Astyanax mexicanus: one gene and its partners. The protein of the gene in region 3 purifies or fractionates together with the protein of the main gene of each other region. This does not show direct contact. Links are inferred from orthologs where the notes say so. Each region holds a gene or a part of one and is shown on either strand. Other genes may lie near its edges.

Region 1 (7,585 bases), on a different chromosome or scaffold from region 3:
ACCGAATGATCTCTGAAATGTGATACAATATGTACACAAAACACAGCCTATAATAACACAGTAATACATTCACTCCCAGCCACAGGTCTTAAGAGTCACTTTGAGGAGGGATGGTCACAGGAACACAAACACTAACTTATTCATGAACGCAACAAATTACCTGTGTGCCTTGTGTAGGCTTACATATAATAACAGCTTCCACTCTTCTAGGGTGTATTTACACTTAATATTTAAACAGCGAACACACAGATCTGGAAAATATGAAAAGACCACCTCAGTTTCTGTATCAGTTTCTCTGATTTAGCTATTTATAGGTATATGTTTGAGAAAAATGAGCATTGTTGTTTTATGCTTTTATGCTATATTTTCCCAAATTCCAAATAAAAATATTGTCATTTAGAGAATTATTTGCAGAAAATGAGAAATGGCTGAAATAACAAAAAAGATGCAGAGCTTACAGGCCTCAAATAATGCAAAGAAAACAAGTTCATATTCATAAAGTTTTAAGAGTTCAGAAATCAATATTTGGTAAAATAACCCTGGTTTTTAATCACAGTTTGTAATCATGCATCTTGGCATCATGTTCTCCTCCACCAGTCTTACACACTGCTTTTGGATAACTTTATGCTGCTTTACTCCTGGTGCAAAAATTCAAGCAGTTCAGCTTGTTTAATGGTTTGTGATCATCCATCTATCTCTTGATTGTAGTCCAGAGGTTTTCAATTAGCTAAAAGAAACTTTTTTAAGTGGTTTCCACTATTTTTTACAGAGCTTTAGGATCTGATATGATTCAACAACAACAGTTAATACAGTTTATATCCTCCAATAAATTAAATAAGCTCTGTTTTTGACAAGAAAAGATAAAACCTCTCCAACACAACGCAACACTGCACAGAAGAACTGAGCACCTCCACTTCTGTGTCTGTGAAACCTGTTTTTGCTGTCACATGTTTGGCTCTGCTATTCTGGATGGCAGTCAAGCAGTTGTTTGTAGGGGCTTTCTAGATCATCCAGATATGGCTTTGACTTCCACAGTTCCCCTTAACTGACATTTATTAATGACACTTCCGACAGTAGATATACTTTACTGTATTTTGAGACCAGACTTCACACTAAGTTTCGTGTCTTTGTTACAGTGTGTATATTTGGTCTGGTTAGTTTTGGTTTCATACTGCAGTTTATTAAGCGGACTACAGAAGTTTAAGCTACCTATGGAACCTTCCACTATACATTTTCCTCCAAACTGTCGACACACCATCACTGCACTAAAGATGTTCAGCCCCTCACACAGGCATGCACACACAGCATTTCCTCTTTCAAGATTGGAATAATAAAATAAATTGAGTTTGCAGGCCTAAAAATATCTTAATTATGATTAATCACAGACTTGTTGTGTGACAATTCTTATTTAGTTTATTTAAGAAAAGCTACATACTTAAATGGAAAACATTTATATGGCTATTTAGTACTTGTTTAATTTGTGCTAAAATGTTTTTTTTTTTACCATTGTATTAATTATAATTAAAATTTATTTAACTTTAAGGGACAACCTACATATGTTCTTTCTTTTCTTACTTATTTACTGCATTGCTAATATATCAGATTGAGACTTGGTATTGGCAGATAATCAAAATCAAATGACTCGGGAGTCTGGGTCTAAAAAATGTGATTGGAACATCCCTATTTGCTATGGTATGGTATGGTGTGGTATGGTGTAATAACCAAAACTAGCAGTCAAGCGTGTCTCACACCCACAAGTCACACCCACAAGTCTATTCCATCTATTTATTGACTCTACAAACAGGTTTTTCCACTTTGTAACACAACATGGTTAGCGGAATGTGGTTGATCCAGCTAACCACGTCAAAATATTCATATACTATTATATTGTCTGGGGCATGTTTAAGAAATATAAAAACAATAAATATTATTTAAAATTATGCATACTCCTGACAGAAAAATAAGTCCCAACCATATGTAAAATCCATGCAAAAAATAAAATAAAAATAAATAACATCATACATACCATGAAAACAACAGACTCTTTAAGAAAAAATGTGATATAATTATTTGCTCGTTCCGCACAAGACTAGCCTACACCCCATATACAAAAAAAAAAACCTTAGTAATCTTGTGAGAGGAAGTGTGTATCAGTCATTAACATGTGTAAATCTGTTAATAAACACTTGTGCTGCATCTAAATAAGATATTGTCTGTTACATCCAGCTAACATTTGTAGTCAAGCCAATTGTAGTCAAGTCTTATTAACAGATTATCAAGACAATTTTATTGTCAATACTGCATATCGTCGCTGTACAATGAAAAACAAGTATTTCCAAAACAGCAACTTTACAGCAGAAAAAAAAACATTTTAAACTTTCAAAGGAAGTCAATGTAAAAAGAGTTTATTTCAGGGCATTCTAAAGAACTTCTATTGGTCTGTTCATCTAAAATTTTCGGACAATGTAAGGGATAGTTTGTTTATTCAAATTATGTAGTTAAATAAAAATACAATTATATGACACTACAGGGGAGAAACGTACAGCAAATACAGCAAAATAAGATTATTAATGTAAACTAATGAGAGACACTGAATGTACAATACAACAAGGATACAGATATATACATTAGGGCTGCAACAATTAGTCGATATAATCAACAATGTCCTTATTAAAAAATTGTCAACTTTAAATGTTCATTGTTGACTAATCGACAATTTGGAGCACTACACAACTCGGCCTGCGCCCAAACACAACAGATTACACATTTCCTCACTAAATAGCAGAACTTTTTCACAAATAAATGACATTTAAATGAGTTAATCTGGAAAACCAATTTTCTTAGTTTAATTCTGTTCCTTCAACTTTATTGATTTAATTTTTTTCAAATGTTATAAAAGTAAGTTAGTTTCTGGCACTTCTACAGTACAACTCACAGGAACTATACCTCAAACATGGCGGCGTTTTGGGTGACTGTCAACGACCGAACTATTAAGCTAAACACACTGTTAGATTTAACAAGTTAACAAGTATTTAAGGGCTGATTTGAAAGGATGAGACACAAGCCAGCTCGGCTATAAACAGATAGCGAGGTAAGCTAGTTAACTAATACCCAAAAATAAGTTTATTCTGTCTGTTTACTGACTTTACAAACAGGTTTACTAACTTTATAACTAATACAGTGGTTTAACAACTAAGTTAACTACATCAGCCAGCTACCCACGTCCAAACAGACACAGGCTAACTAACCTACTGGAGTCGCTAACTGCTGCTGCTGCTCTTTAGCTAAAATGAGCGCTAACAGCCAAATAAACAGCCCAGCTCTGCTCCCTCACACTACACCGACTCCTGCCGCACATTCCGACCCCAACACAGTTAATAACAGCCCGGTTTACTGTGAGAAAAGCTCGTATTTACCGCTCAGACGCGCAGCTTCTCTCCAGGAAGATGAGGCTGGAGATGCAGCAGTCCGGGCACGTCACCGCAGCAGCGTCCGTGAGCACCGCCACTGCGCATGCTCAGAGACATGTATACATAAAGAAGCCGGAGCTGGCGTTTCAGCCGGTCGCCATATTGGATGGGTCTCGCATGCGCCCTCTGTGCAAGTGTGCATGTATTATAAGATGACTATGGAATGTTTTTTTTCCTTTAGATTATTTTGGCAATTCCTCTGGCTTTTTTCTTTTTTTTCCCTTCTTCCTTTCTTTATTTACTTATCTTTGACATTGCTGATATGTTGCTGTTACTTCTTGTTTCCTGTTTTAATTAATCACTGTACCTATTTGTATTAAAAAAAAAGTGTGCATGTATTAGTATTGAGGAAGGTGTTTAATACACCTATAATAATCCCGATTTTCACACGGTTTGGTTAGTTACAAACGGCATAGATGTAGTAACGTTGTTTTATGTGTGAATCATTATTTGTGAATTAACATATTCAAAAATATAACTTGATAAACCAATACACTTATTAATATGCCATACTGCAATGATTAGTCAATTATTTAATTTGTCGACTACAAATTTCATTGTCGACTACTCGTTAATTTGCAACAATAACGCATTATACAAAGTGCCGGGGACAGAAGCGCAATGGGAGATGGATAAATGTCTCACTCTTACAGTTTTTACACTTAACTCAGTCTGTGTCCCCAGACACAAAAGATTACATTTTTTAATCACTTAATATCAGAACTTTCCACGTTTAAACATTTAAACATTTAAACTTTTAAACGGTTTTTAAATATCATGTTCAGCTGTTTCTATTGTTTTTAGAGATGGAGGACATGGCAGAAATAATCGTATAAGTGTATTAAACACCTTCCACAGCGCTAATAAATGCAACTGGAACTGACTCCTCCAATATGGCGGCTGATACGCCAGAAGGCAGACTATGCGGCGTCTAAGTAAACAAATCTATGCCTGTCACCGCGCATGCTCACGACATCCACTCACTATAATAAAAGTCCCCTTAGCTTCTACACCATAGGCATCATATCTATGTTCTTTTCATTTAACTATAGCTAGAGGGCGCTCAGCAGCAGAGCAGCGCGTGGGGCTTTTTCACCTTTACCCCGGAAGCAGTTCTTGCTCAGTAAACAGTGTACACATGCTGCTATTCAGCAGAGAGGAGCTACAGAGAGAAACATGGAGCAGAAAAAGAGCAACAACACGAGCAAAAACACCTCTGGAGAGCTGCTGCGGTGCGGAAACGGAGAAGGTGATTTAACGTATCTCCTAAATAGTAAAAAACTAAAGGTTTTATAACTAGATAAATATCTAACTAACGAGCTGCTGCTCCTCTAGAACTGTGTTACCAACTGATACAACATAACGTTAGCTACTCAAGCTAATGATCTAGATCAGTTTAAACGTTTCTGTTTGTTTTTAATGATGGATATTTCTTATTTGGGTGCATTATACTGTCTGTGCTTATTGATACTGTTTGCTTAACGCTTACAGAAGTTTATCTGTACATATAACGCTGCACGTGGCATCAAGCTTCTTTAAATTAGCACAACTAGCTAACCTAACTAGCTAATCAGAACATAAATCATTTAGTTAACGTTAATTCTACAGTTAACTCCGGACAGTTTTGACTGTAAAAGTAACATTATAGAGCCACTAAGGCCAAAACCATTTTTTTTCTATTAATAGCTGAAATGTGCAATTATGAAGTAACGTAAATAAAACATACAACAGTCCTGCTTAAAAAAAAGTATTATAAACATTTCCTAACCTTTTAAAGGTCTTATTCCATTGTTTTTCATTCATTTTAAAATGTCTAGTTGTGGTCTCTAGTATGAATGAATGCCATGTGAGCCGTTAGTTTTTTTTGTGAATAAAAAAAACGTGCTCAGGTGTTTCTGTTTAGCCCTGCTTTATATCACTGGATTAGAGGTCTCTGGAGAAGGACAGAATTTCGGCTCTTGCTCATGAATATTCATACATGCAAAAATATCGCCTCTGATTGGCTAACAGCACTGCAGCAGAGATCGCCAACATGCCTTTGCCCAAACGGTCAATTTTACAGCTGTAAAACTCAAAGGACAAAATGTTTTCAGGGATACAGCCTTAGTTATTAAGATATAGAACTGGGTGCTGGGTAAAATTAACCCTTAAACTTCGCTTAATGTCAGTCTCTTCCCAAACCAAGGCCGAGGCACACAGGTACTTTGGTACACAGTCACAATATGGAGATCAGTCAATTAATAATACCACCCTCTTGCTGACGTCCAGACATCTTATTCTCGCTGCAATCAGACTCACACTGCTGCTGCTCAGCCAATCAGCTCTCCCTCCTGCCCTGCCTCTAAACCCATACATCACCCAGTGCCCCTCCCAAACTACTCCTCCCGAACAACTCCTCACAATTTTTAGCCTTTTTTAAATGTAAGCTGAGCTGTCAGCAAAAATCAGGGGGTTTAGTACTCCTTTAATGGAGAAATCTGTTGTAAAATGTATTTGGAGTGAACTGAAACATGCTAACAAGTAGGAACTTTTATTGAACAGCCCTCTTCCGTTCACCCCCAGCTTTCTGAAATACAGCCCTTTTTTCACTACAGAACACAAAGGTGTCCAAGAGAACCTTTATTTGCCCTATTTTGACTCTTTTATTTATCTCAAACAGTGTGAAGTGCATTAAATAACTGAAAAAAAGTTTCCTAGTATGCCATTAACAAGTTTAAAGTATCGCCACATTTTGAGGGACCTGGATTTTTAAAACAAGGAGAGGGGAACAGACATGCATGAGTGTGATAGAGATATTTTCTGCAACAGCAGGAAATTATGCATTTCCACAAAATTAATTTTGCAGTCTGTTTACCTATCCTACCTATTGTATGTGCTCATCACTCGAGATATGGCAACTTAGTTCCAAAATACCCTGGTATCAGGGTTTCTCACAGCGCATTGTGGTTAGGGTGGGAGCTATACAAAAAAAAAAAGCCTCCCTAGCCTTAACTTACTTGTCCACCCCCCACTTTCCCATCAACAAACTGTGAAGCTGTAAATCGGGATCAAATCAATGCAGGGGGCATTTGTTGTTGTCAAGGCAGCTGCTCTAAGTAGCTACAACACACTGCAGGAAACCCTGGCTCATATAACAGATTATCAAAACTCAACAGCCAGTTACCTTAATCACTTCACACACTTTAAACAACCGCATTTGTTATTAAGTATTAAATACATGTGTGGTAGTAGTAGTTTTGTTGGTCATTGAGTGAAATATATACACTATATATACTATATATATATTTCATAATCATATTTTTTCAGTGAATTTTCATTGTTTATGTAGTGTTCATTTTAAATGTATAGTTCAGTGTATACACAACATGACTTTACAAATAGCAGAAACAACTTCATATAAGGATTAGAAGGGACAGAAACACTAAGGCTACGTTCAAATTACAAGCCACATTGTGCTCAGATCTGATTTGTCTATCTTGACGGTTAAAATTCATAAATGTAAGTGATCTGTATCTGTGGGTAATGTGAATAAATCTGCATCTGAAACTCCTCACTTGCTGCACACTGATACCTGTATAAACGTCTCCTTCTTCACCAACAACAACAAAAAAACTCATATTAGAGAGAGGAGAGACTCGTAGCTTTATAAAGGGAAATGGATGAGTTAGCAGCTCATATGTGGAGCATCTTTTGCTGGAGTGGAGAGTAAACAGCTGGTCTGAAGTTCATGCTCAGGTCAAGGCAGTTTGCTTTTGCTGTTTTTGCAGCTTTAGCTGCACAGCTGCACCAAGAGATGTGATGGTACGAGAGAGGAGCACATAGCGCTATGAAAGTGACTCAAATCTGATTTAAAAAAAAAAAAAGGGATTTGGCATGTTCACACAGTGATTGAAAAATCAGATCTGAGCCACATTGAGCAAAAAATCAGATATGAGTCGCTTCAGTCTGGAACTTAGCAGCCTAAATGATCTACTAAATTATACTAAATTAATGTATTAAATTACAATGTATTTAGTTTTAATTTAATGTTGATAATGGTCTAAAAATTAACATATTATCCTCCTTTCAATAAATTCCCTGCAGGAATTCATGACAAGCTCTTATTGAAACCTAAG
Region 2 (6,886 bases), about 12 Mb from region 3:
TATAATAAGCATCATCAATAGGCAGTTTCCTTAAAAACTGCTTATAACTGGTTTTATAGCACACAAATTCTCTGTTCCAAAAGTGCCCCAAAACAGCTTTAATCTTTTTTTTTTTTTTTTTTTTTTAACTTTGTGCTATTTTATTATTTATGGTACAGTGAGATGATGTTAGCCTGGAGCCCTGCTGCTACTTGTCAAAACTGAAAATAACATTTAAAAATCAGACCATACTTACAACTCCATCGATTGCCATGTAAAGAACTCTCCTCGGCCGAACGATGTTAAAAAGCCGATCAATGTACTCAAAAATGGCAACCATCATTTCATCTTCATTTTTCGGTGCCGGCCTGAAAAGTAAAGCAAACATTGTCTGGAAAAAATACTGACCATCTTTTTTTACATTTATCTTCCAAGCTAATTCAGATACTTACTTGTCTTCAGGATGTGTACAAGGATGGATGATTCCATTCATGTCCAAATAGAGGTTGTCAAACTCCACCTCATTTGGGTTGGGTTTACTGGTGTCAACTGGTATTTGAACTCCATTGCATTCCTTAGACTAAAAAAAGAAAGAAAAACAATGGACACAGTTACTTCCAAGTAAAACAAAAGAATGTATGCTACACTGTATACATCGGCATAGGGCATTGAATTAAAAAAAATAATTAAAAAAATGTGCCATGAGTCTAATGTGGTGGTTTTACTAACTGTTTGGTCAGTTCATTGTTTTAACTATGTATAATAATAAAAAAAATGTCTTTCATTATGCTATTTTATTATGTAATTTAATGGTCGTTAAATAATATTGTTTATCAAAATTTTTGGTACTATATATGGTCCACTTGGTGCAGCTTGGTATGATCCCTGGTGTACTATAGGTTAGTTAGCTTCTTTTGCAAAGGGGTGTTAAAATGGGGGCCAAATTCCAGCACGCCGTTAAGTAACTAGTTAGTCAATTCCCCTGCTCTTACAGGCCTACTAAACATGACTGTTAACAGGTGAATGGAATCAAGTGTGCTTGAGTAGGAAACACACGTGCAGTTTACTTGTTACTTGCTACAATTTAGGTGCAAATTATGGCAAATAACAGGAAAAAGTGCACTGGCAAACTAGACAAAAAACAAGCTCATAAGTGATTTGTATTTAAGTGGTTTTGGTCAGAAACTACAGAGCCCCTAAGGTGACGTAATGCAGATGTTCTAAATCTCTCGGAAGTTGCAGGAATCTACTGTATATAAATAATTGCTCCCTGATCCTTGCAAGTCAGATTAAATCTCCCAGAATCTAAAATGAGTGTCCCAGGAGTGAATGCAAATGTGCAAGCAGCCGACCAAGACTTTTTTTCCCCACAAACTGAGAGGAAATTGTGTTTTGCAGCTTGGGATGTCTACTTTATATATTATAATAATAAAAATAATAAATGTATGATCACAACTTAAGTCGTGGGAACAAGATAATTAAGTTGTGGGAATGACTTACATGGCCAGGATTTAATTATTTCGTTAACACGTTATGGTCACACACTAGGATCTCATTTCTGCACCCTCATTTTTAATGTCTATTGCTGTTACCTTAGGGGCTTAGTAGAAACACACACCGGAGAAATGCTTTTATTTCTGTTCACTTGTGTTTTCCTCTTTATTTACAATTGTGTGTTACATCACTTCTGCATTTATATGTGGCTAAACTAGAGACTCCTGTAGGTTAATAGTTTTTAATTGGAGAGTTTTTGACAAGACCCCAATTTAGAAAATCAGATTTTACAACTCTGAAATACGAGGTTTCGCTGGATCTCATTTCAGCGCCTTAAAAAGTCATGGCTAGGGGTCATATCTTATTGTGTGCAATAATACCTGCAACATTTTTTAATTTTATGAATTAAATCACCAACCACTAATTATCACATCAGGGTACTACTTTTTTAGCAAAAAAAAAAAAAAAAAAAACACAGCACACTGTTCTCATTTCCCATGATATATTTACTACAGACAGATAATATTATTTACTTTACTTCAGTCCTGGATATATGGAGATATCTGGAGTCCATTATTAATATGAGACTGGATCATTAACTTAATTTAGAAATCTGATAAAATACTAGTATATTTTTTTATCTCTCAGTTAGGGATGTGCCATATCATATCGTATCCAATAATAAAATATATATATTTATTTTGTTGCAGTAACGTTAGTGTTTAGTTTAGTCATATCGCCATGAATATCGTTTTTTGCAAAAAAATACCATAAAATATCGTGATATTATTTTAGGGGCATATTGCACACCCCTATTGCCACGCGTTTTTTCTATATATTTTTTTAACGCTAACGTTAGTTAACTAGCGCCTAGTGAATAACTAGCTAGCTAAACATAGGTAACATAACATTTCCAGCATAACATAAAGGCAGAGTTAGCTAGTTTAGCTTAGCTTAGCTCTGGTTAGCTGTGAACAGTTGCTGTTTGAACGTAGACATTAACGTTTTAGCTAGTTAGCTTAGCAGTATCCTCAGTTAGCTAACGCTTGATTATTTAATTAACCGCTGTGTATCAAAAGACTCCGTTGTCTCAGAGACCGTTAACAACACCACTCAGCCCGTTAGCTCCAGAGTTATGTTAAAACCTGGTTTATTAAACTGCCTACAGACTCTAACCTACATATATTTCCCCCTAGTGTTCTGTTAGCTAACTAAAAAGTGCGTGTTATTCTCCACAGGGCATTTCTCCTCAGCAGCGTTAGCCTATTGCTAGCGCTAGCTGTAGCATTAGCTTAGCTTACCTTCTCCTCCAAACAGTTCACAATTATAGACGCATATTTCCGACTCAGCCAGCGGAAAAACGCCGGCACTCCCATCTTCTCTTTAAAACCACGAGTTTAAACTGACCGTGTTTTTAAAATAATATATCTGTGTGAAACTTAAAAACAGCTCGGGATGAGTGGGAGCCTGTAGCGCAGCGGAGCAGCGTGCTTTTAACCAGCTAAAGAGCTACAGCTCAAACACAGGCCGGGTTTATTCCGGTTCAAGAGCAGCAGCGGCGGAGCAGAGCAGATCAGCGCGCCCCCCACAGTCTCAAACACACAGCTACATCCACTCATTCATCAACCTGACCAGATCACACCAGATAGTTAATTATAGCGGGAGTCCTGCCTTTCTCAAAAACATCACACACTTAAAAAAAAAAATAATAAGCACACCATGCTGACCAGCTTAGATCATGACCAGTGTTGATCAGACTAAGCTAGACAATTTGTATAAGTAAGCTTGACCAGGCATGAGCAATGAACATTAAATGTGTTACATACATGTTTTGGTGGATTACAGCTTTATATGTTTATAATAGACAACCAACCATTATTAAACATTGTCTCATAGTAGGGCAAACTCCAGCAAGCTTAAGTAACTAGTTAACTAATTCCCCTGCTCTAACTGGCCTACTAAATATGACAGTTAACAGTTGAATGGAATCAAGTGTGCTTAAGCAGGAAAAGCACTTGCAGTTTGCTTGTTACTTAATGTAGAGTCAAAATATGGCAAATAACAGGAACTGCATTGGCAAACTAGATGAAGAAACACAAATTTATGCAGCTTTTAAATCCAACGCTTTGGAGATTGTAAGTATGATGTGATTTGTATTCGAGTGGTTTTGGTCAGAAACTACAGAGCCCCTAGGAACCCATGATGTAAAAAGAAAAATAATATTATAATGTGTGGTCACAATTATTAAGTTGTGGGAACTACTTATATGGCCAGTATTTAAGCATTTTATTCCCACGCCTTAATAACTCATCCCAACAAATGTATTATCTCATTTCCAAAATTCCAAATTGATCTCGCCTAACCTGGCCACGCATTAGGATCTTGTTTCCGCAGCTTAAAAAGTCATGGCCACACATTAGGATTCTTGTTCCCACACTGTAATAAATTGTGGCCACACATTATATTGTTTCTTTATTTTTATTTTTTTGATTATGCTGTTACCTTAGAGGCTCTGTAGAAACACCACGAACCCCCCGGTGAAATACTTTTTATTCCTATTCACTTCTGTTTTTCTCTCTATTTACAATTAGGTAATGCATTATTGCTGCAATTATATGTGGCTTAAAAAGCTAGACAACCTGTGTGAGTAAGCTTGAACAAGCATTATATATTCTTCAAATAAATTAGCGATTCTCGATTATAATAAAGACTTAGTTTGTACCATTTAAAGTGATGTGCAAGCTATTGTTTAACAAATAGTAAGCAGCCCCCTTCAGCCTTACATGAAGCTCTTATGAAAATAAGAAAATAAATACAAAGAGTATAAGGGTATAAGTATAAAAATACTAAAAATATATAATATAAGTTGTATTAAATATAAGTTTGATACAAAAACCTATATAAAACCATAACATTGTATCAGTGCATTAGAGAAAATTTTAAGTTTATTTAATCACTTTTTGCTATCTGGGTATGCTGGTCAAGAGCTTACAAGCTCTTTTTCTGACCAGCTAAGGCCATCTTGAATATTGAAGACCATCCAAATCCAACTACTTTCAAAAGCTGGTCTTAAACTTACATAGGTACCCTAATGCTGAATTTAATAGTTGCTGCTATTTTTGTTGCAGCTCAAAATTACAAGTGGTTAGGATCAGAGAATCATTTAAACTGGAGGTTGATGAGACGAACCTTAAATATTGATACGAAACAAAATAACAGATTCTGCTCACACTTACAAAGACTACTTTTTCTTCATGCCCCAAGCAGGGGGAAGAATCTTTCCAGCATTCAGGTTTACCCATTTTTGTGCACTGACTAAATCCTGTACTACATTTCTACATTTTACTAAATCTGTTTTAAAATGTACACTTACCTGCACTATGCCTTCCTCTTGTAAATATTAAATGTTTTCAAACTGGAATCACTTTATTATTTTGTTGTTGTGGAAGGGATATCACTTAAAATTGTGTCACTCTCCTCATTTCACAGTTAACCCAATTAGACAGTGAGACAGTTCATGTGCAGGTCAGCGTCATGGTCATGCAGTGAGCATGGGGCTAATGTGCTTTAATTGCATTTCTAGTAGTGAGCTGATGCTTCATTAACAGGCATGGGATTATATATGAGGTTCTTGGTATAAGACTCATTTCTATGCAGAGGCTTTGATGTGGTTGATGCATATGCAGAGACTAGTCCTTATCTTCTTTCTCTCCTCATAAGTGAACAGTGTGCGCTCTCTTCATGTTACTTCCACGAACCCATGTTCATTAATGCATCCTTTTGTACACATATTTTAAAGTACCACACACACAGTTTGTCTAATTAGACGATGAATTAAACCAAATTCCTAAAGCACATTAAAACCATAGTTCAATGGAGAGTCTAAATTATCATCCCCTTCCCCTCGTACTATGTCACAGTGTTGTAGCATATTTGCTTGTGTGATTTCTAAAATAAGGACCATTTAAAAGGTTTTTAGACATGATAACAGCACGTATGCTATTTGTGTATGCTGTGTATAATTCTGTTGTTTAACAATGTATCTCAGAGCCCTACTGGTTGGACAAAATTAATGCTTGTACTTCTTGTATTTAATGTTCTTTTACTACAGTACCCAAGGTACAGAGCCCGGGAGGGGCCGTGGATAAAAAAAATAATTAAATCGAGTGAACGATATAGCAGTTCTGTACCCAAGATGCACCACACAAATGCATGATAATCTCCCACAATAGTGACTAACATAGCCATAGCATTCTGTAGTCCTACGCCCATATTTGGAGTTCCGTGTCTAGGCTTAATTGCGCAATGAGCAGAATGAATGGGGTCTATCACAATCTGTGATTAATAAATATGTTCATAACCATATATGTTTTATTCTGCGTACAGTTTTCTTCTGATTATCACTGGATTTTCTGAACTACGAGATTGTTTAAGAGTCGTAATAAGAATTTGCTACAGTTAAGCTAATGCAACAGTAATTGGTAGCTTTTTTCATTTTCTATAGGGTTCTGAGCATATTTATTTATTTATGTGATTGAGGTGATAAAAAAAATTCTCCCCATTGGAAAATTTAGCTTACACACGGAACACCAAATGTGGGCATAAACAACATGGTGCCCACTACAAAATGACATATGTCTATTAGTGCTGCTATTTATTTAAACGTTCCCCCACCTTCAAGATAAATTGCAGCTCCACTGTGGGACATAAGTATGCATGTTTACGTCAGAATAAGGGATGGCTATGGTTTTCATTTCGGCCAAAGTGCCACTTTAAGTATATGATGGGATCTGTCAGGGCAAATAGACTAAAAAAATCATGTTAATCATAACGTGTTTTACAATTACAGTCTTCACACAAACTGAAAGCGTCCACTAGCCATTTGAAGGCACTCCTATTACCTTCAATAGTAGAGATGATCTGTTTCAAGAAAACTGTCTCAAAACATGGGTTAAATATGATGAAGTGAAGGAGGTATATCAATACAAAAGAACATTTTAAAAAGAACAGTGAGCGCATAGGTTGTTAACAATGTGAACATTGTATGTACACTGAAAAAAATCATGTGTTGGATTTACTTAAAAAAATCAAGGCAACGTTTTGCACCAATTTTTTTAAGTAAATTCAACTTGATGAATTTTTAAGTAAGTTCAACTAAAAATATTTTGTTACACCAACTCATTTGTATTAGACTCATACAACTTAATATCAAGTCAGTCCAACTCAAAGAAATCAAGCTCAATTTACATATTCACCTATAAATATTAAGTCAGTCTAACTCAATGAAATCAAGCTTAATTTATATATTCACCTTTAAATATTAAGTCAGTCTAACTCAATGAAATCAAGTTTAATTTACATATTCACCTTTAAATATTAAGTCAGTCTAACTCAATGAAATCAAGTTTAATTT
Region 3 (7,887 bases):
AACTTTCGAATATGAACTTGTTTTCTTTGCATTATTTGAGGTCTGAAAGTTCTGCATCTTTTTTGTTATTCCAGTCATTTCTCATTTTCTGCAAATAAATGCTCCAAATGACAATATTTTAATTTGGAATTTGGGGGAAATGTTGTCTGTAGTTTATAGAATCAAACAAAAATGTTCATTTTACTTAAACATATACCTATAAATAGTAAAATCAGAGAAACAGATTTAGAGACTGAAGTTGTCTCTTAAAAATTTCCAGAGCTGTATATGTTGTAAAACATAGCTGTAAAAGCTGTAAAATTATTAGATTGGCAAATGCTGGACTACTATATAAATGTTTACACCATTAAACGAGTTCTTAGTGATTTATTCATTGAGCTGTTTTGGCTCATAAAAATATCTGAATTTTAATAAGGAGAACAGCATTTTAATAGCTGGTATTCCAGGTTCAGCATGCTGTTACTGTGTGATGCAACATTGGAATTGTGCAGGATCCTGTTTGTGTAAAATCCTGCATTACACCATATCACACAAATTTGTGAGTAAAGCGTGACTGGCTTGGTTTAAACTGTAAATTACACATGACGGTTTGGGGAGTATGAAATCAAGAAATTAAATATTACTGCTTTAAACTATACCTTGAGCTAATTGTAGGAATTTTGTATATATTTAATTTACTTTTGCTCAGTCCATCATTAAATAAACTTACGTAATTAAAGTAAAAATACATTTAACTGTTATTCTTAAAATTGTGTTTTACTCAATTTAACATGTAAAAAGAGAAAAACAGAAATAAATGTATTTTTAAATGTATAAAAATGTCAAAAGTAAATGTTTTAATTAACTTTAAATCTTGAAAAAAAATCACATTATCACATGCTGTTTTTTACTTTTTATGCCCATATTTTATAACGAACCAATACAAATGGTTTAAAATGACATGTTTTTACTGTGACCTTCATTGTGAACATGGTTATTTCTTTTGTCTGTAAAGATGGCATATTTAAATTTAAAATATTTAAAAAAAGAGAGAGAAAAGTCTATGTGTGTATGACATCTGTAATTTATAACTTTGTACTGTGGACCAAAAGTAGATGTAAATGTACATGTAAAGTAGTAGTAAAACTTTTGAAGCAGCTTCAGAGAGAGATAGACAAAAAGCTGTTCAGGATAAAACGTGAGTGTGACCCATGACCCGGCCGTCTCAACTGATCTCTACAACAATCACGCTGCTGTGATCAGCACATACTATAAAAGCTCCAACACAACCACAGCAGAAGATGAGTAGAAACTGTTCATTCATTTGTTTAGAAGTGCAGAGAGCCCCACATCAGCAAGTTACAAGATATGATAAGGATACAGCCCTTGGTAAAGATGCCCTATGACCCCCCACACAGAAAGAGATAGAGACTTATACAGCTCCAAACATCTCCTGCTATTTGTTTATAGCAATTTACCTTGTGTAAATTATGTTTTATATATATATATATTTTTTTAAAGTTCATCAGAGGGGCACTGATGAATAATTCATAATCTTTTGCCAATATAAAGAGACCCCCCCACACACTCTTTTTTACCAGGATTAGATGGATCTGGGTTGAAGCTGACAGCTGATGTTCTCAGTCCACGGACAGATGCGAGTCCTCCATGGCAGTAAACGGAGAAAACTGGTTTAATTGCAGCACTGATGCGCCGCAAAGCTGGAAACACTGTCATTTCTATTGGGGTCTCTCTGCAAACTATGGTCCACAGGCCACAGAGCGCAGAGACCGACTGCTTTATAGCGCAGTGTGAATGCTGCCCCCTAGCGTCTGTTAATAGTTAACGTGAACAAGACATCCCCCTGACCTAAGATAAGGATACTAATACACACACACTGCTTTTAATGAGCAACAGTACATTCTGACTATTGGCCACCACCTATTAGGGTTCAACTAAGACAACCTTCCAGACAAAAACATGCTGCTGAGATAAATATATATTAAAATATACAGGACCAGTAAACTCACCTTCCATTCAGTGTTTTTCTTTATTTTCCTTATTTAATATATTTTCTACATTGTACAATAATTTCAAAGACATCAAAACAATTAAGGGACATGTATGGAATTATGTAGTAAACAAAAAGTGTTTGTCCTTCACATTCCCCTGACCTAATTTTAAAGAAAAAAAAATGTTTGAGAATAAGCCATCTAAAAATAGAACATATATGCTATAAAGCAGCATACATTAGACACCGCCTATTTTTAAACTGACCTGATTTAGCATCACTGGGTAGCCAGCCCACTCTGAGGAAAGCGCACCTCCCAAGCTTTGATACATCAGCCAACAGATGCCTTTGCTGACCAACATCACACTAGCATGACCAACTGTGCTTTCTTAGAGTACAGTTGTTAAAACAAACAGCATGCTCTGGGATTTAAACTAACATTTCTCTGAGCATAGTGACATGAAACACTTGCTTTTTAAGTTAATAATAAACAATTTATTGGGTTCCTGAATGGTGCAGACATCTAAGGATTAGACCTATCACATAGAACTGTTGGCCTTTAATGGTATTAAAACGCTCTGTGGACTAGGTTTTGGGTATAATTTCTTTAGACATGCATGCCAGTGATTTTAAATTTACAAAAGGTAAATGTTTTTATTATACTGCATACTTTCACCTTCATGTTTTTCCACTGTTTGCCTGATTTAATCATCATTCAAAGAAGATAAATTAGAAACTGAAATCAAGGTGAATTGATAAGCTCTGGCTGTAAAAAGGTCTGAGAGTTCCATATCTATTAAAACACTGATTTACTACTAATACATAAACTATAAATTATGACGGGTGGGACGGGTAAACATTCTTAGTAAACATGGCTCACGCTGCCACCAAAATACATTTGCAATAATTTGTAATAATAATAATAATTTTTGGATGTTGGATTGAACAGTGCTCCTTGGGATGCTTAAAGCATGGGATATGTTTTTATAATCTAACCCTGCTTTAAGCCTCTCTATAACTTTATCTCTGACCTGTCTGGTGAGTTTCTTGGTCTTTATAATGCTGTTTGTCCACTAGTGTTCTCTAACAAACCACTGAGGCCTCGACAGAACAGTTGTATTTATACTGAGACTAAATTACACACAGCTGCACTCTAACTTATTCAGTGACTTCTGATGCCAATTGATTGCACTGGATTTTATTTAGGGGTACAGAGTAAAGAAGGCTGGATACTTTTCATATTTTTCTTTTATAAAATTTAAAAAACAATGTATTATTTTCATTTCACTTCACAATTATGTGCTACTTTGTATTGGTTTATTACTTAAAATCTCTATAAAATACATTTAAGTTTGTTGTTGTAACGTGAAAAAAATGTGAAAAAGTTCAAGTGCTATATAAAGATTTTTCAGTTTCAAGTGCTAATAAAACATTACAGAAATAACACTGCACTTTATATAAAAACCCATTTAAGCATTGAATTCATTTAGTGCTTTTAAAAATTATCCTTCTGTTTTGAAAGGGTGTTAAACTGAATTCACCTTAAAATACAATAATTAGATGAAACATATATTAATGCAGTGTTTTATTTATTTTATTACATTTTAAGAATGTTTATTAACAATATACAATTATGGCCCTAACATAAACAAATAATATACACAAAGAAATTGTGTCATTTTACAGTTACAAATTGTTAAATTAGGTATGGTATTTTCTCGTAATTTTATGGGAATTGTTTGGCAACTTTTGTCCTAGTGTTAATATTAAATCCCATCATGTGCTACACTGTACAGCTCAATTTTCTGCCTCTAAAATATATTTTTCTGTTAAAATAAAATCCAGTTTTCCATCAGACACCTTTAACACACCGCACTACTCGTGTAGGTTAGTGGCACCATCTAGCGGTTATAAAACTCAATGATAACACCAAACATATATTTAAAACGTATATTTACACTGCCTGGACAAAAAAGGTCGCCACCAAAAACAAAAGGTCATACAGTCTATTATTAGGTTGGACCGTCTTTAGCTTTGATTGCGGCACGCGTTCGCTGTGCCATTGTTTCAATAAGCTTCTGCAATGTCACAAGATTAATTTTAGTCCAGTGTTGCATTATTTTTTTTACCAAGGTCTTGCACTGATCTTCTCCAGCACATCCCAAATATTCTCAGTGGGATTAAGGTCTGGACTCTGTGGTGGCCAATCCATGTGTGAAAATGATGACCTCATGCTCCCTAAACCACTCTTTCACAATTCCAGCAAGATGAATCCCAAAAATCAATATTTAGTGGAATAACCCTGGTTTTTAATCACAGATTTCATACATCTTGACATGTTCTCCTCCACCAGTCTTACACGCTGCTTTTGGATAACGTTTTGCCACTCCTGATGTAAAAATTCAAGCAGTTTAGCTTGGTTTGATGGCTTGTAATCATCCATCTTCCTGTTTATTTTAGAGGTTTTCAATTTGGTAAATCAAAGAAACTTAAAATTTTAAATGATCTCTTATTTTCCCCCAGAGCTGTATATATAACATTCATACAGGTTAAATATGCAGTTTAAAAAAGCTGCTACAAGTCGGCAGAAAAAGAATTACTTCAGTAAAGTATAGATAACCTAAAAAATATTTGTACTTAGTTACTTGACACCTCTGGGAATATGCACACTTTACATGCATAAAAACTGAAAGTCTTCGGGCAACCCCAGGCGGGACCAAGACGGCCAGTTCTTCTTGTAAATCAGTAGAGAAGTTTTAATAAAAGCTGGTTCTATCAGTATGCACGGTTAGAATACAGCATATAGAGAGACGCAGTGTTTTACTGTGCTTGTTGGCTTTTTTGTAAAGCGGGTTACATTTTAAACCAGCGTTTTATTAATATACAGCAACGCGCATGCGCAGGTCGAGCTCAGACCTCCGCAGTCACACATGCGCAGTAGTGCAATACCGGTCAGACGCTCCGGATCAGCAGCCCAAACCGACGACGGGGTAAACGGGGACGGCTTTTAAACAGGTCAGTGTCATAAGAAGGCAAAAATTTTTGACCGAGGTCATATATTTAGACACGAGCCGCGTTCGGTACCGGACAGACAGCTTCAGAAAATCGGATTCAAGAGGGAGAGGAGAGAGCAACCGGCGAGGCGGCTCCGTTCGGCTGATTGTGGCGCATGCGCACACCGGGGCCGCGGGGCTTTATTCTCGAAAAAGCTGAACATCGAGTCCAGCAAGGCTGGAAACACATTTCTGTAGTTTTATATTTAATCCACTATAGTTTAGTTCATCTACCTACAGGTGTAGCCACTTTTAATGATGTCGATGGTGACAGTTAGGCTTTAGTACTGATTTAGATCAGATTCCACATTGATAAGACCTTTTTTAATTGAGACCGCAGATTAGCCGTTATTTTGTATCAGTTAGATTGTTTTTCCAATCCTTCACAAACTCTTAAAAACTAGCTCGGTAGCTAACAGTTAGCAAGCGTAGGTACATTTGCCTTCTCATTTATTTTGTATGCCTTTTTCTAGCTAACGTTACCTTGCTAGCTAGCTAACTGCGCTAACTAGGCTGTCTAGCTAACGTTACAGTTTTCTTTATGTCATTATATAACATAGCTTTAGCTATCTAACGCTAGGTTATCTAACCTATCTAGTTATATTTTTCATGATATTTTGTTTACTTGTAATAATTTTACATAGGTTAGCTAAATAATTAGGTTTAAAAGTCCGTTAGGTCGCTGTGTTTTTAAGATATCTAATCTATGTTAGCTAATGCTAGCTTTTACCATCTATTAAATGTTGCCCTCTTAGCTAGATAACTAACATATATGTTAAGCTGCCTGGGTTGCTAGCTGTGTCCTTACTCGTTTTATCACTTTTTTATATATTATGCATATACTGTCACACAAATTGTAACTCGAATTAGCACACATTTCCTAGCCAAACATCCCTCTAAGGTGGTCATGTCTGCCCCATGGACGTCATCCACTGTGGCTGTGAGTGTGTGTGTGTGGGGGGGGCAGATTAGCGTCAGCTGGCGAGGCTAAGCTACGATAGCTTTAGCGACGGTTGTTTATGTAGTTAGGTCAGCAGGGCTGATGGTCTGTCTCTGACTGTTGGTGCTGGGGTTAACCAGCAGTTTAGGAGAAATACCGCACTGAATTGGCGTCATCGAATTCAAGCGTAGTGTCAAAGTCTACATAGATACCTGTAAGTCTTTTCTTGGCTTTATTTTTCCTTTTTATGATCTATACCTTTGTTATTTGTGAAACATAAATAACGTGTTACTGTCTCCAGCTCCTACTGTTCAGTTGACAACCGTTGCTGGACAATTTTCTGACTTTGTTGATCTAAGATTTGGTTGCTTCTGAGGTCACTACACACCACTAACGTTACACTTGTTGTCGTGTAATAGAGTATTTTTGTGCTTCATGCTAAATTTTTGCACCAGGAGTGGCATAAAGTTCTCCAAAAGCAACGTGTAAGACGGGTGGAGGAGAACATGCCAAGAATGCATAAAAATTGCATTAAAACCAGGGATATTCCACCAAATGTGGATTTCTGAACTATTTCTATGTCATGTGGTCTGAGAATGAGGTCTGAAAGGTCTGCATATTTTGTTCTTGTTATTTCAGCCATTTTTATTTTTTTGCAAATAAATGCACTAAATGACAATATTTTTATTTGGAATTTAGAAGAAATGTTGTCCGTAGTTTATAGAATAAAACCACAATGTTCATATACTCAAACATAATTAAACCACATTAAATTCAGAAAATGATTTATTAAACTGAAATTGAGGGAATAGTAATAACCTCACTTTAAATATTTTAGAGTGTAACATTTGCCAGTAGGGTCCACTTGACAGAAGAGGAAAAAAAAAAAAACTAAACAGAAATCTGTAAAGATTTTTGCAACCCTGGATATAAGGGACAGTTCTCCTTATTAAGAAATGAATAAAGCCCAAATGCTTGCAAAGCATTTAAATTTGAAAAATTCCAATGAAAGAAAAATATAATCTGTGAACAAACTTAATCCCTCTTCAGCAAACAGTCTCTAGATATGTTCTTCAGTTGTAGCAGTGTCAACATACTAAGTGTTTAGATTCATGGGTAATGTAATCTGTTATTGTCTACTGTTTTACCAAAACTTGTAAAGTAATGTTCCTTTGCCAGTATCTCAAACCATTCCTATTTCTTGAGCATTAATTAGGTCTGGTCTTGGACTAAATTGCAATATCTTTAGTGATTCTTTGTTGAAAATAGGAATAATGTTGGTCGGGGAATCACAACACTGTCCCTCAGGATGCTAAATGTTTACTGAGAAAATTACAGGCTTTTCAAAAAGGTATGTTTAGGGGGTTGTATAAAGCAACGTGTAAACCAGTAGAAAACCAGAACCAGGAGCAGTAGAAAACATAACCTGAATTATTTTGCTCACTGGCAGTCTCACCATTCTTTGTGTTGTTTGCAAGAAATGTGGAACACCCTTTAGGATTTAGTTGTTGATCTGCAAAGGCCTAGGATTAGGCCCAAATGTGAGGAAGAGAGGGCAAAATTGTTGCCAGGTGGGTCAGAAATATTTAATATGTGAAACATTAAAACATTAAAAGCATATTGTGAATGCACTCACCACTTAAAACAGTAGGGGAAATTCTAATAATCTGTTTTTTTGTATTCATGGATGTAATGCATTGAATAACCATATTTTTTTGTTTATTTATTATTAACTATGGGCCTGTCAGGATATTTACGTTGAATCATACAGTACATTGAAAACCTCACACTTTTCTGACCTTAGAATCTTCCTCTGTGTTTCCTTGCGTGTTTGTTTACATACAAATAAACATTACAAATAAATATTAATACTTTATTTAGCCAGCCACAAAAGACCAATGCAT
Region 4 (7,207 bases), on a different chromosome or scaffold from region 3:
GCCTTGAAATGTTTCACTTGCTGTTAAAACATTGCAAAAAATGATGTAAAGGAATGCATGCCATCACTTACTGCTAGCTGGAATAACAATCTGCAGTGCCAATATGGAGTCTGCTGGGAGATCTGAATGGCTTTGCGTAGTAAAGGCTTAGCAGAATCAACCAAATTCTGTCAAGAAAGGAATAAAATGACATGGAATTTCTCAGATATAGACACCTACTCAATGAACATAAAGGGTATTAACAATGACTTTACCCCCCTTCACTGCAGTAACAAAATATAATGTGAAACTTGCCCAGAAGTGTATATGCTGTAACATCACTGTAAGAATTTGATGAAATTCAGCCACAAGAGAATCAGTAAGATCAGAAGATCTGTTGAATCAGCTGTTATTATTGTTCATCAATATTAACAACAATATTTACAATTCAATAAACTGTGGACTTTTAATGTCCAAAGTTTGGGTCCAGGGACAGTAATCTTAGACTAATGTGCGAGTGATCTAGATCTAGCAGTGGTTCACAACTCTCACTCTGGAGGACCCCATAATCTACAAAATGTAGTGTTTCCATCTCAAACACCACATTTACTGCTCAACATTATGTTAAATGCACATAGATTACAGGTTAAAATAATTTGCAGCAGCAAACAAACAAAACAAAAAAACGATTAAGTACCATCCAATATTGATTCTGTTCTTGAATATGAAATATATCCCCATTTTCCACAACAAATAATGACTTGAGGGAATGATAAGGTGCAACTTCCAAATCAAGAATTTGCATTTACCCAAACACTGATACTGCATGAATACAGAATCAACTCAGAAAGGGCTTGTAAATTAGCTGACAAGTTAGATCAGGTACATTGGGAACAGGACCAGGGTTGTAAATCGCTGTTCTAGAGCATCCTTGTTACGTAAATTTAGAAAAAAGCATACATACACTTCTGCAGACAGTGCAACCGTCCACAATACATTACGCAAAATTACACAAAATACAATTCTTACCTGTTGGCAATAGAGCTCCGAGAGGAGACTGGCAGCCTCAAATTTAACATCTTCAAACTGTGGGACCTGAGAACACTGGTTAAGGTTATATTTTTACTACAGATCTGACATGATTATAATCTCAGACAGCTATTTAACTGAAAGAACTGAAAAAAACACACTGAAGAAAGCCATTACTTGTGAAAACAAAAAGTTCAGCCATAATCTGTACCCTTCCTTTTGAGTTCTGCTTTAGGCAGTGAAACTGGAAGCTAATTGACAGTTTGCACAAGCACACACTGATTATACAGACATTTATACATATAACAAAGCTAGTCATCCAAATAAAGCGATTTTCTCCATTGTAGATGCATTGCAAAAGGATACTTGTTGCGAGATGCACCACTGAAAGAGATAAAGAAAGAATAAAAAAAGATAAATTAGTTATTAGGTACCTAGCTAGCAAGCAAACACAGTTAACTTACATCACCGAAAACAGCTAAGATTTACACACATAAACCATTCAAATAAACAACAGTAGCTAAGTAACTAACATTGAAACAGTTAAGAGTGAAAAATGATACACAAATATGATATTGGGACTAACTTACAGTACATTAGTTAGCTAGGGACTGGCTAATGTAGCATAGCTAGCTAAACTAGCTAGCTATAAGATACACTGAGAATACAGGAGTATTAAGGTTTTTTTTTTATACGTTTAAGACTTTATAATTCCACTCAACAAATAACAAAATAAGAACATGTTTAAAAGCAAGGAACACCAATATTAACTTCACAGACTAGAGTAAGCTAACGTACATCTCTGTATTTCCCCCAGTAAAAATTCAAAAACGACATTTCAAAGACGCATAAATTAGTTAATTGTTTAGCACACACGAGAAAATTAAGTTATGGTCCATTAGACATATGGTATTATGATTAATTGGGGTTATTTATCTTGATTTGTTAGTTAAATCACGTCAGCTTAGGTTAACTTAATTCAGTCTGCCTTTAAGTTACCGACAACTAAATCTGAAAGATGTTAAGCTAAGCTAGCTAGCTTAAGTTAGTATAAAACCTATTTTCTTCACTTTCTGTGTTGTGTAAGACTTTTGGGAAGATGTATTCAAGATATTTCAACATTAATTCAAGCTTAATTTTAAGCTAAAACCGTTTAAAACCTAATTTTCTAAGAATATGAGTAATATAGCTAGTTAGCTAGCCAGCTAAGGATCTGCAGATACCCTGATGTGTATATATAACCTACAAGCTAACTAGCGCTAGCTTTTGAATGGTAGCTAGCTTATGCTAGCTTTAGAGGAACATATAGCTTGTATAGGTACATTTAGGTTTGTTTTACGTGTATACTCTCTAGAAATAAGCTGTAATTATCGTTTACGCCCCAAACAACGTACTTAATGTGTCTATCTTAAAATTCACACAGTCAAAAGTCTAAAAAGCAGCACTTTCTGCACTGAGGCCTACACGCCCGCCTCTCCGCCGCATCCTCGGTGTTTCCTGATCTGCTCTTACCGCTTTTTCCAAATGACTCCGGGCCAAGTCGCTGTTCTTGGTGTGGTGGTACAAGACCGAGCCGAGCTGGAGGTGCGTTCGGGCTTCTACCCTCTGCGAAGGTTTAAACTGAAGCACAGCCTGGAGACAGTGCACACACAGACGTATTTTAGGTGGGCTCGACGTGCGAAAATGTTCCGCGAAGCCGAGCAGGGCGAGGTACCAGGACTCCGGGGCCTCAGCGCCAGTCGCCATTTTGACGACAATAACAACAAAAACAAGCCGCGGCCTGAACGGAGCTCCGCACAGGCGGCGAGAGTTCAGTGGAGTGGACTCAGGGGACGCTAGCTAAGATTTTACCCCCATTTCCAGCCTCTAAACTACTCTAAGAACTTGCTTTCCCCCGCACAGAGTCCTTCAGCTATCTACAATTTATCTGTACTCTCTATTTCGCTTATTTTTTCCCCTTTAAACCTGGTAAAAAAAGGGTAAAAAGCAGCTAAAGTGCTCTTCGCCGTCCCCCCACTCAGACACCCCAGATTCAGAAAGCAGATTCACACTCCTTTAGTGATACAATCCTCTGTTTCTTAGTGTTATTCAATAGAAATGACATTTATTAAGAATTCAGAGAGATTTCATAGTTTTTAGGACATATAGATAAAGATCATTTGTTGGGTCTTCACTACCAATGTAACATGCCTTTTGTGTTTATATAAAGTTCATAATACCAAAAGGACATTGAATTAATTGAAACATTAAAACAACTCTGTTCATCGTTATGGTTTTATTTATATATACTATTTGGTTGTACCGCCTTTAGCTTTGATTGTGGTACGCATTTACTATGGCATTTTTTTAATAAGCTTCTGCAATGTTACAAGACGTATTTAAATCCAGTGTTGCACTAATTTTCATCAAGATCTTGCAGCAGCATTGATGATGGTAGAGTCTGACTGCTGCACAAAGCAGCTCTTCTCCAGCACATCCCAAAGATTCTCAATGAGGTTAAGGTCCGGACTCTGTGGTGGTCAATATGTGTAAAAATTATGCTCATGCTCCCTGAACCATTTCTTTTACAACTCCAGAGCATTTTAAAATATGGCCGTGCCATCAGGCATGAAAAAAATCCATTGATGGAATATCCTGGTTCTTCAATATATTCAGGTAGTCGGCTGACCTCATTCTTTAAGCACATACTGTTGCTGAACCTAGACCTGAACAACTGCAGCAACCCTAGATCATTTGCTTAGTTAAATCCCATCCTTCTGCCTTTCTCTGAGTTATTGATACCGATGGATGATAATCTGGGAATGCCCCCGTACACATTAGGATTGTCATCCACTATCTAACCGCTCTGGTGGTCAACCTGGCATTATATAAATGTGGTTCTACACACAGATAACTATCATTTTCTGAAGTAAGGGATCCAACCAACACCTTGGGGTTGGGTTTGAGTGTTGCATGTGACCTTTGGCTCTTCCCCAAATCAGATCTGCCAGGGTCAGCAGCCAGACACTGACAATGTTGCATATTATCTGTTCTCCATAAATCTAGTCAAAAGTTATTCCATCTTTCTGCCTTTCTCTGACTGCCCAACTGTCTGGCCTCATACCAATGGAAGTCTTTGGAAGTCAGGCTTCCCAGTCACCCACCACAGATCAGCTTCCCACCGCCCAGTATATGCCACCTGCCTCTGATATGTTAACTCTCCACTACCAATTACATTAAAGTTTATATAAATTCTCATTAGAAATTTTCTAACTGTATGTGACTCATGTGGATGTATAATAACTTTTTAACATTAATTTATAAGTTGTCTGACAAGAGGAGGATGGGGCCCTTCTTATATATTAGCTATGCTTCCTCCCAAGGTTTCTTCCTCCTTTAGCTATGAGAGAGTTTTTCTTTGCCTTTATTGCTTACAGTTTCGTCTGATTCTCTGTTGACATCAAGCATCACTAAGCATGAACACTATAAAAGTAAATGATTTGATTTCAATGCAACCAAATCTTCACAGCACTAAAAGTAAAGTCTTTCTCAGTAGCCTATTGGTCTCACATTTGTGAAAGTCTAACAAGACTTAATGGTGACAGCATTAGCAAACATCACACAATGATGTGCGAAATAAAAATGAACTCTGCTTCTGGGGCTTCGTTTTGTACTATTTCTACTATTGTTGTGATGCTGCTTTTCCTTTTCCCTATATGTTTTACATGTGCTGAGAATTGTGGGTAACCATGGGATGTGAAGGATACATCAGTTGCATCCTCAAAATGAAAATATCCTTTTTTAACTGTATATGAAGCATCTTTAATTTGGGGACAGCCTAGTGACTAGGTTTCTATGTGGAGCCTGTTTAGGTGTTGTATGTCAGCAACACCTGTAACATGGTAAAACATAAAACACTGTGTTGGAGAACCATTTAAACCTTTATTTGAGGTCTACAGAACACATTACATTCAGTATATGACAACAAACAAGAGAGAAAACAGCTTTTTCACTGCTATAATGATGAATTCACTGTCAAGATACTGTCAAGACAATCGGCGCAGCTCAAAAGTTCAAGTGAAGTGTCCATTTGGATATTTGGAAAAAATACACAACCAGCTAAGATAACTCTGAATCTGAACTGTATGATTCTATGAAGTTGAAAGTTTTTATTTTTTAAAAAAGGGAACATGTGAAGGTTTGAGCCATTATCCTCTAAAATGTCTTTGAGCATGATCTACTGAAGCAAAAGGAAAAACGGGACATTTTCAAGTTCGGGCAAAGCATTAATACTCTGTAATACCATCACGGTGTGCATTTTAAACTGCACGTCCAAATGTCAAGGATGTCAAATATTAAAATAAAAAAACTACAGCACAATACAACTGCGATCCCTTCAGTAGTACGGCCTCCTTGGATTATTCTGGAGAGGGGAGAAAAAAAGATAATATCAGGACATAATAAAATAAATACTTAATTAAATTACAAAACAATGAGCAAATTAAAGGCAAGATTATTAATTAACGTACTGTTCAATACCTAAATATTGTCACAGTACTGAAGAATGGAAAAAATATTTTCAAAAATGGATTTGCATGATAGCAGCTATATATTATATGCAGATCATTTACATAACATACAAATCCCACTGGAAATTCTTTGTTTTTGTTTATTTTGTCTTTTGGCAAATGTCTGTCCACATAATCTGAGTAGCTAATTATTTCAACTTTTCCAGGATCTTATAAATATTTTCAGGACTTTTAACACTTCCTTTTGAGCAATTGCAAAAAAACTGGAAAAGTACTGTCAATTTTAAGGTTTTCCCATTTTTCTAGAACACTGCATTGTAATGGTTCATAAATAAAATAAATAACATACAAATTCAAATTTCATGATGATTATTTGATCTCTTGGGACAGTGAAAATGCACAAAGCATGTAGATCATGAAATACTACATTATGACTACATTCACCTATGTTCTGTGTTGCTCAATATATAAAGAATAGTGAATTGCAGATTCAGGTCCTGTGTGAATAATTCACACAAGCAAGCCTGTGCTCTTTACTGACCAGGGGATTAGGTCTGAAGCGGTAAGCCAGCATCATTCTCTTGCGGAAGGCGTCATACTCGTCATCATTTTTAGAGAGTTCTGCAGGTCGGTCCACTCCAAACCCTGCGCCGTCTACTGCAGTGGTTCCCCTGAAAAACACAAATGTGTTTAAAGCCATTGTTTTTTTCTGAAGAACCCTAGAAATCACATAAAGTAATATACTTGATAAAGAGCTCAGAGAGAAGCATATTTTACTACAGCAAAGAACATGCAAACACCTGCAGAACACAGGAATCTGAAGTAGAAATTGAAGAAATGATTGCCTATGTATTGGTACTAGATGATGTTTAGCCGAAATATGTGACTGGCTGTTGAACATCAAAGCTGGTCATGTGGGTGTATATGGGTGTTTATCATATTGACAGGTGAGACCAGCAATCAGTATCAGCCCCAGAAACACTGATCTGCCCTTCTCTTATCTGTAGTGTGAGAATTTAAGAAACTTTACTGTTGATTAAAGCTTTTGATAATTTTCACCTGTTAACAGGGTTCTTGATGCCCTGGCTTTCCGAGCCCAGACCTTCTCCTTCCTTCCAGCCCATCTTCATCAGCATCTTAAAACCAATGTTCTCCACTGTCAACTTGAACTCCTTATACTCAGAGTAATCTGGATCTCTGCCCTCCTACAGATCACAAAGACAAAAACAATATCACAGTCAGTTCAGATTCTTTTTGTAAACACCTTCAGACATAGAGCAACAGCACACAGCAGGAGGATCAATGTCTGAGGGGGTACAGCAGCACCATAAATATGATGTATGCAAAATAAAAAGTACTCTGAATACACTCTGGAGTTTAGCAGCAGGCTTTTATCGTTTTGTTAATCTCACCTTTAGAGCCTTAAATGTCTCCATGAACTTTTCCAGCTCGTCAGGTGGCAGAAAGTCACCAATGAAATGCTTCCCTTTCCCCATCTCAGTCAGCTGCTCTGCCCATTCTGCTCAGGATAACAAACAAATATAAAAACATTAGAGATACAATGAAAGTCGCAGGGTGCATATGATGACATTCCAAATAAATATATAATAATAATATTTAAAGTAAATACAGGGTTCATATACATTTTAACCAATAAATTTCCATGATATTTTCATGACTTTGCCTTCAAG

What was found.
Region 1: the proteins of kpna1 (region 3) and nopchap1 purify together in Homo sapiens (co-immunoprecipitation; 3 studies listed by BioGRID and IntAct, with this or other methods). This does not show direct contact. The link is inferred for Astyanax mexicanus from reciprocal best matches to the Homo sapiens genes KPNA1 and NOPCHAP1.
Region 2: the proteins of kpna1 (region 3) and xrn2 purify together in Homo sapiens (affinity purification with mass spectrometry; 4 studies listed by BioGRID and IntAct, with this or other methods). This does not show direct contact. The link is inferred for Astyanax mexicanus from reciprocal best matches to the Homo sapiens genes KPNA1 and XRN2.
Region 4: the proteins of kpna1 (region 3) and mau2 purify together in Homo sapiens (affinity purification with mass spectrometry; 3 studies listed by BioGRID and IntAct, with this or other methods). This does not show direct contact. The link is inferred for Astyanax mexicanus from reciprocal best matches to the Homo sapiens genes KPNA1 and MAU2.

What each region holds. Positions count from the first base shown.
Region 1 is NC_064409.1:6,106,135-6,113,719, reverse strand, and holds the start of nopchap1 (uncharacterized protein C12orf45 homolog), read left to right. Parts: upstream 1-4,566; 5' UTR 4,567-4,646; coding exon 4,647-4,719; intron 4,720-7,553; coding exon 7,554-7,585. UniProt on the Homo sapiens protein: Client-loading PAQosome/R2TP complex cofactor that selects NOP58 to promote box C/D small nucleolar ribonucleoprotein (snoRNP) assembly. Acts as a bridge between NOP58 and the R2TP complex via RUVBL1:RUVBL2.
Region 2 is NC_064408.1:83,918,552-83,925,437, forward strand, and holds the start of xrn2 (5'-3' exoribonuclease 2), read right to left. Parts: upstream 3,001-6,886; 5' UTR 2,850-3,000; coding exon 2,775-2,849; intron 560-2,774; coding exon 432-559; intron 348-431; coding exon 236-347; intron 1-235. UniProt on the Homo sapiens protein: Possesses 5'->3' exoribonuclease activity. May promote the termination of transcription by RNA polymerase II.
Region 3 is NC_064408.1:95,811,483-95,819,369, reverse strand, and holds the start of kpna1 (importin subunit alpha-5), read left to right. Parts: upstream 1-4,882; 5' UTR 4,883-5,005; intron 5,006-5,623; exon of another isoform or gene 5,624-6,197; intron 6,198-7,887. Other genes in the region: si:ch211-161h7.8 (thiosulfate:glutathione sulfurtransferase), read right to left, coding at 1,578-1,716. UniProt on the Homo sapiens protein: Functions in nuclear protein import as an adapter protein for nuclear receptor KPNB1. Binds specifically and directly to substrates containing either a simple or bipartite NLS motif.
Region 4 is NC_064411.1:47,986,013-47,993,219, forward strand, and holds the start of mau2 (MAU2 chromatid cohesion factor homolog), read right to left. Parts: upstream 3,017-7,207; 5' UTR 2,755-3,016; coding exon 2,521-2,754; intron 1,393-2,520; coding exon 1,375-1,392; intron 1,075-1,374; coding exon 1,009-1,074; intron 168-1,008; coding exon 72-167; intron 1-71. Other genes in the region: sugp1 (SURP and G-patch domain-containing protein 1), read right to left, coding at 5,384-5,410, 6,058-6,187, 6,576-6,721, 6,929-7,035. UniProt on the Homo sapiens protein: Plays an important role in the loading of the cohesin complex on to DNA. Forms a heterodimeric complex (also known as cohesin loading complex) with NIPBL/SCC2 which mediates the loading of the cohesin complex onto chromatin.